Linked DNA regions of Tribolium castaneum. The protein of the gene in region 1 interacts with the protein of each later gene in a pairwise test. Links are inferred from orthologs where the notes say so. Each region holds a gene or a part of one and is shown in the gene's direction. Other genes may lie near its edges.

Evidence for each region. The genes of interacting proteins can lie anywhere in the genome.
Region 2: the proteins of E3 ubiquitin-protein ligase RNF25 (region 1) and eff interact in a two-hybrid assay, tested with the Drosophila melanogaster proteins (2 studies listed by BioGRID). The link is inferred for Tribolium castaneum from reciprocal best matches to the Drosophila melanogaster genes CG13344 and eff.

The regions. Positions count from the first base shown.
Region 1 is NC_087394.1:924,065-930,177, reverse strand, and holds E3 ubiquitin-protein ligase RNF25, read left to right. Parts: upstream 1-2,545; 5' UTR 2,546-2,680; coding exon 2,681-2,697; intron 2,698-2,745; coding exon 2,746-2,814; intron 2,815-2,863; coding exon 2,864-3,563; intron 3,564-3,581; exon of another isoform or gene 3,582-4,403; coding exon 4,404-4,490; 3' UTR 4,491-4,677; downstream 4,678-6,113. Other genes in the region: cold shock domain-containing protein CG9705, read right to left, coding at 1,669-1,816, 1,867-1,989, 2,041-2,135; protein FAM135A, read right to left, coding at 4,678-4,951, 5,006-5,165, 5,252-5,463, 5,519-5,864.
Region 2 is NC_087397.1:3,981,974-3,988,548, forward strand, and holds eff (ubiquitin-conjugating enzyme E2-17 kDa), read left to right. Parts: upstream 1-2,962; 5' UTR 2,963-3,246; coding exon 3,247-3,270; intron 3,271-3,748; coding exon 3,749-3,812; intron 3,813-3,869; coding exon 3,870-3,901; intron 3,902-4,149; coding exon 4,150-4,333; intron 4,334-5,892; coding exon 5,893-6,032; 3' UTR 6,033-6,533; downstream 6,534-6,575. UniProt on the Drosophila melanogaster protein: Catalyzes the covalent attachment of ubiquitin to other proteins. Mediates the selective degradation of short-lived and abnormal proteins.

The DNA.
Region 1 (6,113 bases):
TCAACATTTTCTATATCTAGCTTACAGTTTTTGAAATAATCGTAAAAAACGGATTATAGCTAATTATTTTCATTCTTACTCGAGTAAATTTTCGAAAAATACGATACAGTTGTGCTGACAATTAGTAGAAATGTTTAGTTTGTCCACCATTTTGATTCAAGAAGTTAAAAAGTCGATGGTAGAATGAGTTATTTTACATAATTTACACTAAGTTATAATTAGTCATAATTAAATATTATTGTTTTACTGATCATTCGCTAATCAATCTGCTATTCGGAAGTAAAATTACCGTTGGGGGCGCCACTGAGCTAGGTCGAAAACAGTAACCATAAATGGCGGGAAAATGTTTATTCGGATATTTTGAGCGTTGTACGAATTTTGGGGCTTCACAATTATTGCATTTCCTATGCGGAATGATTATTGTATCTTTGATGCAAGAAACTTATGTTGACAAATGAGAGATGACGAGGAAAACACGAATAACGAATGACTGTTTGGTTCACTTTCTTTATTGGAAAATTATTATAAAGACATTGAAAAGCCTACCTTTTGGCATAATTTACGTTAAAATGTATCAGCAGTTGTTAATCTTTATTGTAGTTTTGTAGATTTACAGCAGCATTTCATGATTTTTTCAGTGGAAAATTCTAACCTAAAATTCACACACTTCACTAATTTATTGGTTTCTTGAGCCAAACTTTGTGTTCGCTGTGATCCATTACTTATAATCTTTAATTAGACAACTGTTTGATAACACTTTGTAATCAAAATTTAAATATTTTTCACTTTTTATCCACTTTCAAGTTCCAACAATAAACACTTTATACCACGAAAAACTACAGAACCAAAGTCAACGCTAGTATTTACCACCACGTACTTTTAAAGTGATTCTTTCTATTGTAAGTAATTAACACTATACACGCAAAATTGTTGAACAATTCATTAAATGTCAGTTAAATGTGGAATTACGAAAATTTCTTTACTGTTTTCGACATAGTTCAAAAGTCATCACCAGAGGGCGTCTAGTTAATTTTATTTCTGAATTCTAAAAACTAAACAAAATATGTTGAAGGTTGACAATAGTTGGACATTTTGCAAGGCCTACTTGATTAACGATGAAAATTACAAAATAAAATTGTTTTTTGTGATTATTTCAAAAATTATAAAAGATATTTATAGTAAATATATGATGAGTCGATAAAACTCACGATAAATATCGATGTTTTTTCGATTGCCGTTAAGAAAATAGTCGTTCGTTTTTTGAAAATGATACTAACCTTGCAATTTGACAGTTGTTGACAATTTTGAAAATCTCAGACTCTTCCAACCTCTGGTTATCGAATGTAAAAAAATATTCACTTGTTACTGTGTTGTTTTGAATAAATAAAATTTTGAGAAAAAAATTTACATGTTAAAAACTATGGTAAGACATAAGTAGCAACAACTTGGGTAATTTTTACTCATTTTAAGAAGGCGAATTCAAAAATGCACTAAAATTACCTTAAACTCTACACTGGAAATTAAAAGTTTCTAATGTAGGCAGCAATAGAATAACCCTGTATTAGAGGATATATAATTTTAATGAACATAAAACACGTAAAAATACAGGAATATGTTTGAAATATTAGCTAAAATAAATGCATGGTGAGTTATATTTCGAGATTTTGTTTAGTAACTTTCCCATCTCTTATGGACTTCTGGTTTGAGGTTGACAATGTGTACATGTACTGCTTGATGTTTTTCAAACTTTGGCGGAATTGGACACAGTTGGTATTTAACCCTGTCTCCAGGTATGGGAATGTACTCATCTTCAATGCTAAAAATAACTCCAATAGCAAACAAACCAATTTATAAACACGAAATTACTCTGAAATGTGGACGAAAATGTCCTCAGACCCGTCCTCAGGTGTGATAAAACCGTGCCCTTTCTCCCGACAGAAGGACTTAATTTCCCCGTACAAATTCTGGTGTTTTAAGATGCGCTCGCATCTGAAATATATTTTTTGCAATATTTACATTAACGATTATTGACCGACTTACGTAGACGGTGTTCGATTTCGTTTCGTTATCAGCGGACTTGGAATTAAATGAGTATTGGGCCCTGGATGAAGGTTTTTATTGTCGCCACTCGACATGTTGAACAAAAATTGATGAATTCGGCGAAAAAAACGAAAAAACTACGAGAAATGCCGCCACTGACTAACACTTGCCAAATTTGACACAAGCATAGGACACAAGTGACCTTGACACAATGTTGCCAAACATTGGCCCATTTTTTCACTAAAAAAACTTTAGGCCCCAATTTTCACATTAATTGTGACAATTGTCAAATAATTAGTGCAATTACACGTTTTAATTATTTCTTTTAAACCATTTTCTTGTCCATTTGACGTTTGGTTGGCAAAACGTCAAAGTCATAGGTGTGCACTCGAAAAACACAATTTTTATCTCGCTTTTTTTAATGAAATAAAATCAACAATTATAATCAATGAAACAGCACAATTTTTTCCACCATTGCGACATGCGATACGTACTTTAGTTGTGAATATAAAAATAGTTTAGTGCGTTTTAAAATTTACCGACGCCACTGCTTTTTGACAAGTGAAGTTTGACAGTGACAGGTGACAGAAATTGAATTTTCGTCCCAATATTGATTAATCTCACCCAAAACCTTATAAAAATGTCGTTAAATGAAAGGTAAAGACTCATCAAACTAAAACCGCTTGATTAACGTTTGTGTTTAAGGGTTCAGGAAGAAATTGAAGCGTTGGAGGCAATTTTAATGGACGATATTTCGGTATCGTATGGAGACAAGTAAGATTTTGACTGATTTTAGCACAATTATTTGCATTTTTCCCCCTAGTGGGTGTCCCGAACTAGTCAAATCGACGATATTTCCGTCGACTGCCGACGATACTGACAAACAGTACGTCTGTGTGACTTTGGAAGTCAAATTACCGGGGGATTACCCCGATTGTGAGCCTTTAGTTCAATTGAGGAATCCCCGAGGTTTGGACGACACGACCTTAAATCATTTGTATCGCGCCATCAAGGACAAATGTAACGAGTTTATTGGTCAGCCTGTCATTTACGAATTAATCGAATTGATTCGGGAAAATCTCACTGAGAGCAATTTACCAACTTGTCATTGTGCCGTGTGTTTGTACGGATTTTCCGAAGGTGATAGTTTTACAAAAACGCAATGTTTCCACTACTTCCATTCCTACTGTCTTGCAATGCATTTAATCACAACCGAAAAACACTTTATTGAAGAACAAGAAAAATTACCAACTTGGCAAAAAAGCACAACAGGTTTTCAAGCCTCGTGTCCTGTTTGTCGCGAACCAATCAACTGTGATGTCCAAGAACTGAAGAACGCTCTTCCACCGAGAGAACTCGAAAAAGCTCAAAATTTTCAAGTCACCAAAGAATTACAAATGTTGCAAGCACAAATGAGACAATTATTTATCTACCAAAAGAGTCGAGGTGGAATTATCGATGTGGAAGCCGAAGAAAATAAACTACTTCTCATTACGGAATCGAGCGAAAACTCACCGGGAGACGTAAGTGAAAAAAACACACTTTAGTAAACATTTATTTAATAACATCTTATAAAACGTATTATTTCGGCATCAAAACAGTCGTAAAAAAATAGACGAAACAGTTTTCTAACTAAAAAAAAAAAAAAAATTGACACCAAAATGTCACAGAGTGGGCGGAGACGTCAAGAAAATAAATTGTTTTGGTGCCATTTTATACAGGGTGTGTCGCAAAAAACGTCACCTATAACTACAGGATTATTCTTTTTTTGGTCTACACTATTTTTGAAGTCGTCTTCTCAATTTGAGTAAAATGTTTTCAAGTTTTTGGTACTTATCTGTCATAGTATTTTTGTCAAATAAAATGTTCATTAAAAAAGGGTGTTATAACCATTTTTTGATCGTCATATTTTGGGCTGTGCTGTTTTGAATGAACCTCTGCAAATAAAATTTTAAAATAAAATTGACATGTCAAAACTATTGGACTCATTTGAAAACGTGAATTAAAAAATGTAATAAAAATAAGTGGTTACCATTTATAATTTCAAAGTTGGCGCCAAATTTTCATAGTTCTGGAAGTTCAGCCATTTTGAAAATAATTAAGTTGAACTTGAGATAGTCGATTTACAAAATTTCAAGACTCTAGCTAAATTGCAATTTGTAAAGTTTCTAATGTAGGCTTTAAAAGAATAACCCTATATAACTCACCACCACACATTTGTACGTTACGTTCAAATAAAAACACTGTTTAAGTGTTGTGTTATGTCGAACACCTTTTACATTAAAATTGTAATGCAATTAAGTTCAGTACGATTTTTGACATTTCGATGCGGTTCGTTGTTTTTGCATAAAAACTTTGTCCAGGATTCTGGTCCTAGTCTGCCTCCAAGTGATCCACCACCAAATAATGGAGTGTTGGGTCGTCAACCACGAACCACTTCAAGCAGGTGACCAAAGTGTTCAATAATAATAATAATAATAAAAAAAATAATAATGTCAAAAAAAGTACGTGTCATATTACTCATTATTGTTTGTGAAAAATTTTGTTCTAGTGAAGGTATAAAACTACTTTTAGGACTAATAATAAATGTAAATGTATTTTAATTTATTTTATAAAATATTTAATAAATAGAATAGTTCAACGGAAATACTTAATTCCCACTACAGCCATGAATTTCTCAATAAAGAGTTCCGAATCCAAGACGGCTATGTGTGCAGCTCGACCAATCAAAGCATTCGCTGTGTTAGGTAAGGCATGGTGTATGTCATAGCGGACCAAATTCACGTCTTTCTGTGCTATTATGGGTGAGATGATGTTGTGGACCATCTCTCGATAGATGGCGCCTTGATCAGAGGTGTCTTTGATCGATTCTTTGCACAGCTCAATCCGGGCCGAGTGCAACGGAACGTATCTGAAACAATTATTTGTAAGAAAAAAAGTGGCTCCAAAATTTAAATTTTCGAACCTGTCTTGTCCCGAACCGCAAAGTAGCACGTTTTTGAAATGGTGTAAAGTGCTTTTCTGACTCAGTCGGTACAAAAACGACTGTCGAGCGTCGTTAGAATCTTTCAAACAGAGCTGGAGAAGAGATCCTGATTTTTTCCATTTCTGCATAAACCACATTCCTGCAAGTTAATATAATATATAATAAACGTTGCAATAAAATTCCAAAATAAAAAATACAAAAAGAATTTTTTTTAAATTTATTTACCCATATTGACTAATCCACTACTGTTGTATAAAGTGCCCAGATGTGGTCCAGAGAGTGATAAGAAAGTATGCAGTCTTGGTAGTAGAAATTTCATCTGGGGCCTTGTTAAGGCAGATCTAATAATAACGTTACCTAAGGAGTGACCCACGAAGCTTATTCTCGTTGGTCGAATGCTACTCGTGTCTAAATAATGAAGAATTTCGCTGACCAATCTACCAAAAAAAATTATCTCATAGAACGATTGTAAATTTATTAATTTATTATTACCTATCGGTCATGGTATCAAAATCGCTAAAAGTATCTCCTTGATTTCGTTCGGACATGAGAAAGTCGAGATACGCCCCAGGAAGTCCAAGCTCTAGATAGGTTTTAACTAAACGTAAATCAGCTGAATTTCCATCTAAGCCATGAACGCACACAATCAGATGCATTCCTTCAGGCGAAAAAATACGAAACTCGTCGCTTATGTGAAAATAGGGAATCGTCGAAGCGAACGACGTGAAATCGGAATACAAAATACCGGGGAAGTTTAATTGACTTTTGAATTCATTTTTGGAGCGAATGAACGCTTTCTCCGATTCGGATTTCGAGCCTTTGGAGAAATGATGGTATCCTAAAAAGTTATTGTACTAGTAGAAATTAAACTTGTAATAATAAATATTAGTTGATTTAAAAAACGATTTTTATTTCTGCGTTAAAAAAACTTTGAAAAAATTCGCCCAAACAATTATGCCCAAAAATGTGCTGTTCTTGCTTGTTTCTTAAACAAAATCGAAAGATTTAACGCAGTTTAAACTGCAATATTTCCTATTTTCCATCGAGCAACTAAGACAAATTACGCCCAAAAATGTGCTATATTCTT
Region 2 (6,575 bases), on another chromosome or scaffold:
CAAAAATTGAAAGCCGTTTTTTTATCAGTTTTTTCAAGTCCATTTGAAAAATTTGTAAGTGAGTTGTAAATATTTTATATTTCTGAAAAAATTATTTTAAATAATTGTCACCTAAATTATATAAATTTTTATTTTAAAAGCACCTGAAAATTTGGGTGGAAGAAGGGAATACATGTAAGTGGCAGAGTGCGTTCTCTTCTTTTTTCTAAATACTAACATTTTAAATAAAAAAAATATTTTTTTCCGAACAGTAGTTACGAACTTAAATTGGAAAAATGGTCAGACCCAAAAAATTACAAAATTAACATTACAAATAAAATGAAAGTTTTGTGTTAATGCTCATCGGGAAATTTGTTTAAACTATTAAACTATTCACTGTTGTAACCAATTTTTTTTCAATTTGGTTTAAAATAGCGTTTGCCAAACCAGAATAATGAATACAGTTTGTGTAATAAGAATTTAATTTGAATGCAGTTAAATGCAGCTCTTAAACAATCATCATTCTCATGTTTTCACCAAATACACATGCACACACGACACTCAAACACAATTCGCAAGCAGCACATGTCTGAAGTAAAAGTACTAACCATGGTGTTTTGGGTACAAGACTCTTACCCAAGCCGATCGACAAGAAACTGAATGAAATAAGAAGTTGTGGGAGAGACAGGCACCCCTACTTTGTTTTACTGTTAAAACATTGGAATATCATGACAAGTTCATGGAAAAGTGCAATTCATTGTTGATAAAAGCCAAGCCTGTTGTAAGAATAAAAAGTTGTATGTAATTTGAAAAATGTGATTAAATTTCGTGAAATTTATGGATTCGGTGGAATTTTTATGAATGTTACTTAAGAAAAATTTCAATTGCAAAAATTGCATTTAGAATTTAAAAATTGGGTTAATTGACTGTGTTACGTCTTGAAGTAAATAGGTCGATAAAACAGAGTGAACAAAATAAACTTCCGTATAATTTTTACCACAAAAAAATTGAATTGTGTTACACCTACATATCACCACAATTTGAAAATGGTTCTGAAAGGTATCACGAATCTGTTCGAAGGTTAGATAACAAACCAATTATTAACTACAATCTTTGGTTCAATACATTTTCAAAAATATTACACCACTATTGTTCTAATAGTTCCTGCAGCCAAATTACCTATTAATTAAAGAGAAAATTACAAAACAGTAGAGTTTTCAATGTCGTTTGATGAAAATATTGGGTCTATTGCCTTTCACTTAATTATGCGAACGATTAGCAAAGCGTAAATTTCTCATCTTTTTTGAATCATTTTAATCAAGTTTGGAAAAACAGTAAATTAGAATTAATTTTGCATAACCAGGAAAAATCAGTGTCAAGTTTTTAATCTTGAACTTGCGCACACGCAGTTATTATTTTATATTTTAAAAAGTGATTGCAAAAATAACGATACTTACCTACGAATTTTACAGTTATGAAAATGTTTCTTAAAACAGGATTTAAAATGTTAAAAGTCGACGTTTCCCAAAACTGATATACTTTTAATTATGTAATAAATTATGGAATATTTGTGGAGGTATATCTATTTAGAAATTATTAGGAGTCGGGTTTATAAAATCAAAGATTTAACTAACTTTAGTTGCAAAACTCTCTACATACTACCTAGTTTCCAATAATAAAATAACACATATTTTATTCTCTTTAATGTTTATTCGTGTTGCACAATTATTGCTAGGCATACAAACAAATAAATAAATATTTATAAACAAAAAATTCAATAATTAGAGCAGTTTTTTTCCATCAATAAAAGATATTTACCAATCTTATTGCAATAATGATTAATTGCACAAAACCTTACGATCTCCAAATTTATTCATATTTGGTGAGGACCACATATTTCATTTGCTATTGACAAGGTCACTTATACGTGAAAAACGTGGGAAAGGTGTGTCTGGTAAAATGGTGGTGTGTCTCTATGACGTATAAATCTTTAAAAAGAAGCGAAAGTAAGGCAGTCATGCGTTATGTAAAATATTTGTAATAGTCGTAGTCTCGGAGGCTGTCTGAAATAATGATGAGAATCTGGTTCATCGAGAGAATAAGAAGTAGTTGTTTTATCTAAATCGGAAAGGAAAGCTCTAATCATTACATTCGTGATGAGAATTAGATATGTACATCTATTTATTACAAATAACTATTTTATAAAAAAAAATAGTTTAACAAGATCCAAGGCAGACGAATTTGACTGATCAAAATTTGCATTTTTGTTTAAAGTTTAGGTACAATTTAGATCACAATCTAGGACTTATTTATTAGATATAAACCAAATAATTACTAATCCTTATATTTTTTATGCTACATTGAATTTAGGAGGGAGGGTCCAGGGGACGAATGCTACATTTTTGAGAAAAAATACAATGGTAATTTTTTTTTTAATTGTTTATTGTTTTTGAAAGTACACTTCTTTATCTTTCTAATAAAAAAAATAAATATTACACCTAACAAAAATGTACTGTAAGGCTTTATCTTGTTGTTCTTTCTTTATGTTGTAGGACATTTGTTTTGCATATATTTTTTAAAATAATTAGCATAGAAAGATAATAATAATAATAATATATAAAATAATGCAGGATAAAGATAAATAAGGTTTTTTTGTGTAATTCTCAATAATTTTTGTAGCTACAAAATGTGAGCAACAAATAAACTTAAATTTGAGACACCTTTTTTACATTATTGCTTAGAACGTAGTAGTTCTATAATAAAATTATAGAAACTGATCTTTGGCTGTTCCACTTATGGAAATGAAGAATTTACAAAAAACTTAAAAAATTTGATTGTATTATGTGTTGCATAAAAAAAGTTTTAACGCCATCTCTTTTTTTCATAGCGTAATTTTGCGAATTGCTGTCATAACGTAGCGGATCTGTAATGAGTTCACGGAATTGGGAGCTGTTTTACCGACATGACTAAGTCGCCACGGAAGTGATCAGTCATCTTTTCTGGAACCTAAAGTTGATCCCCGTACTCTGTATCAAAAAGACAAAGTGTTTCAATAACTGATATATTTTCGGGTAATTACTTAGGTCAAGTCGCGAGTAGCTCGTGGTGTTTAAACGCGTAAAAAATCATCGGAAGTCTCCATTTGACCTACGTGGTGTCTGTGAGTTTTGAAGGAGGCCATCTTTGCAATCTCCTATCAGAGGTCCTTGGCTCGAGGTTTCATTGTCTGGTGAAAAGCCAGTATTTATTACACATACACTCCGTCAAATGGCTTTAAAACGAATTAATAAGGTATGTTAAAGTTCGCAGTGAAAGTGATGTTCGCATGTGGCCGCAGATCGTCCCGTTAAAATTGTTTTTGTGGCAGTTAAACGCCCTTAACGATTTTGTGATCCGATAATGTGAATCGCGTTAATCCTGTTATGACCCGAGTTTTTCAACTTGTGCACGCCGTTTTCGGCGCTAGAAAAGCGTGTGAGGGGCTTTTGGCAGGTCGTGACAGAGTTTGACCATTTTCCTCGTACACCTTATCAAATGGCACAAAAAATGCCGGATGTAACGTAACGATTGTCAAACCCGATCGAGACCTGTTTTTCGCTCGGTTTTTCCCTCAGAAACATGCGTTTCTCTCATTGAGGCTAATTTTAAGTGCATAGGTTGGTCTTTCATGCTTCTAACCTCACCATATTAGGGCCCCGACTTTCAGGTGTCTATTATTAACCCGATACCTGTTCAAGTGGATTCTTGCTCAACTTTTCTTGTCTTTCAGGAACTACAAGACCTCGGCAGAGATCCTCCCGCACAATGTTCAGCAGGACCTGTTGGAGATGATTGTAAGTCTGATTAATTTCGCAAAAAGTTGATTCTAAACCACGTTGTGTTTATTACAGTATTTCACTGGCAAGCCACAATTATGGGACCAGTAAGTTTACTTTTTATCTTATTTTTTCCGAAAATCAAGATCGTACATAACGGTACTGATGCTATTAATAGACTTTTAATTTATTTATCCAATAACCTTATGCAAACACTGAAACTTATTGATTTGAGTTTTCTATTCAAAAATGAGTCAACTAGTCCCGGTGTTTCATATTCATAATCACAAATAGCATTGAGTCGTTTTATGGCTTCGGAAGTAATGCTCCAAGTGTGAATTATTTTTCTTTGCAGCCTGATAGTCCATACCAAGGAGGAGTATTCTTTTTAACAATTCATTTCCCAACAGACTATCCGTTCAAACCGCCTAAAGTTGCGTTTACTACAAGAATTTATCATCCAAACATAAACAGTAATGGTAGCATTTGTCTTGATATACTACGTTCGCAGTGGTCACCAGCACTTACAATTTCAAAAGGTATGTTAATTTTTAGTTTTTCAACTTGAAACTTTCAAAAATGATTGTGGATGCCAGTGAATTAAGTTTCACATGTTAAGCAATAAGGAGGTATTACTTAGACATCTTGCAAATCAGTGTTTTTGTTTATTGGTGTTAGCAATTAGACTTTATATGCAATTATGTAACAAAAACACTTTCCAATACTTGTGTCATTTTTTATATAATTAATAATGTATGCCACATGTGCATGCATAAGGTCGTTGCATCTGATTATCAAGTGGCGCCAACTTGTGGGGTTTCGATCAATTCTTCTACAAGTTATTAATTAATAGAATTTTTATCAAGTAGATGACCACATGTTATTTAGGTCATTGTTTATTAATACGATTTCAAAGGATGTTATTTGTTTACAGTTTTTCTGTTCACTTTTTTCACTGCTTCATTTAGTTTGTCTCCAGATAATTTTAAAATTTACGATAAGTCACATACACGTTACATTTTTTTATTTTAACATTCATTAAAGTCTTTGGTTTTGCTTTATTTCATTTAAAAACTTAATTCCATTAAAACATCAAAACTAGTTGTTTACAATCGTTACAAATTTATAAAGGATCATCAAACTTTTTACCTTATAAAAAGCATTTTTAAAATTTTTGTTATTGTTTTGGTAACGGTCTATTTAGTTTTTATTGTTCAAATAAGTAATAAAATAATGAGTAACGCTATAGTCAATATTAGCAGCAAAGCGTTACTATTATCGTAAACTTGGGTGTAATTTATAATAATAATTTTAATAATAAAATATTTGTTTATATTTTTGTCCAGATTTACCTTCACACAATAAATCCTGTGGTGATTAATAAATTATTATTTATACAGCACTGTAGTGCAATAAATTTACTTTTAACGTTGTTTGCGACTTGACATTTGTAACCTTTGTGCGATATCCTTAGGTGGATAACAGTTTTCTTGATTATGTTTTATATGTGCTATGTATGTATAATTTATTTTTGTTTTATGAGGTGTTACGATTTTTTCATTTACTAATACTACATTTTTAAATGATCTTGCATTAAACTAGATTTGATTTTACATGTAGACGGTGTCTCCAGTCTTACGGCCGGAGCAAAAATAAATATTTCTAGTTAAATCAAAAAATTATTTCGTAGCCTAAACGATAGAAAATTTGATGCTTTATTTCTTTCAAGTTGGCAACTGCAAAAATAGAGTTAAGCTATTGGTTTGAGTAATTAAAAAGAGGGGATAATAACCACTTTACTCGTATTATTTTATTTTAAATTTGCAGTTCTCTTTTCAGAATTGTTTTGCCGATTGTGAAATTTGACACATTTAGTGAGAATTTAATATGAAACAAGCATAAGAATTGAGTCATAATTGTTATGGATAAAGTGTTTAGCTGCTCTGCAATTGTTATTGTTTTTAATATGTATTAGAGCAAACACGTTTATTGTATTTTTCTTGAGTTGAGTTTTTGCGTGGGAGTTAAGTGCCGATTGCGTTTTTATGTCAATTGATTGTTGGAGGTGATGAATGAGTAATTGGTGTTTTTGTTCCAGTACTCTTATCAATCTGCTCACTTTTGTGTGACCCAAATCCAGATGATCCATTAGTACCAGAAATCGCTAGGATATATAAAACTGACCGGGAAAAGTACAACGAGCTAGCGCGCGAGTGGACTCGCAAATATGCTATGTGATGCCCCGGCCCCCAAACCCCACACTTCACACTTTAGATAAAAACAACTTATTTAATTGCAACACTCGGAGGGGATAAGCCAGCGTCGATTATTTCTGTCAAGTTGTATATTTGCTTTGGACTGTGCTCCCTCCGCCACTTACTACCACAGTATCCATTGGGGTTTAAAGTGTTCAAAAATCATTTATAATCTACATTAAATTTGAAATTACTTTGTTTGAATTGAATATATTGTGGTTGTAAGAAGTCAAGTGTTGGGTTGCGTTTTTCTTTCCCACTTGCACCCGACTTCCTTGCTGGAGTAGTGAAAGTGCGTGTTGCTTGTTTGTTTGATATAAACACTTGGCAGGCATTTTTAGTACTTGATGATTTCAACGTCGGGTCCCGGATTTTCTATCCAGCGTATGGATGACACTCATATACTAATATAATTGTTAGATAAATTAATATGTAGGTTTTGTGGTTCAACTAGGTGTATTGTAATAAATGATTTTTTTCTCTACATTCTATACATGTTTCAAGTTTTTAATATTCTAGATCTCAG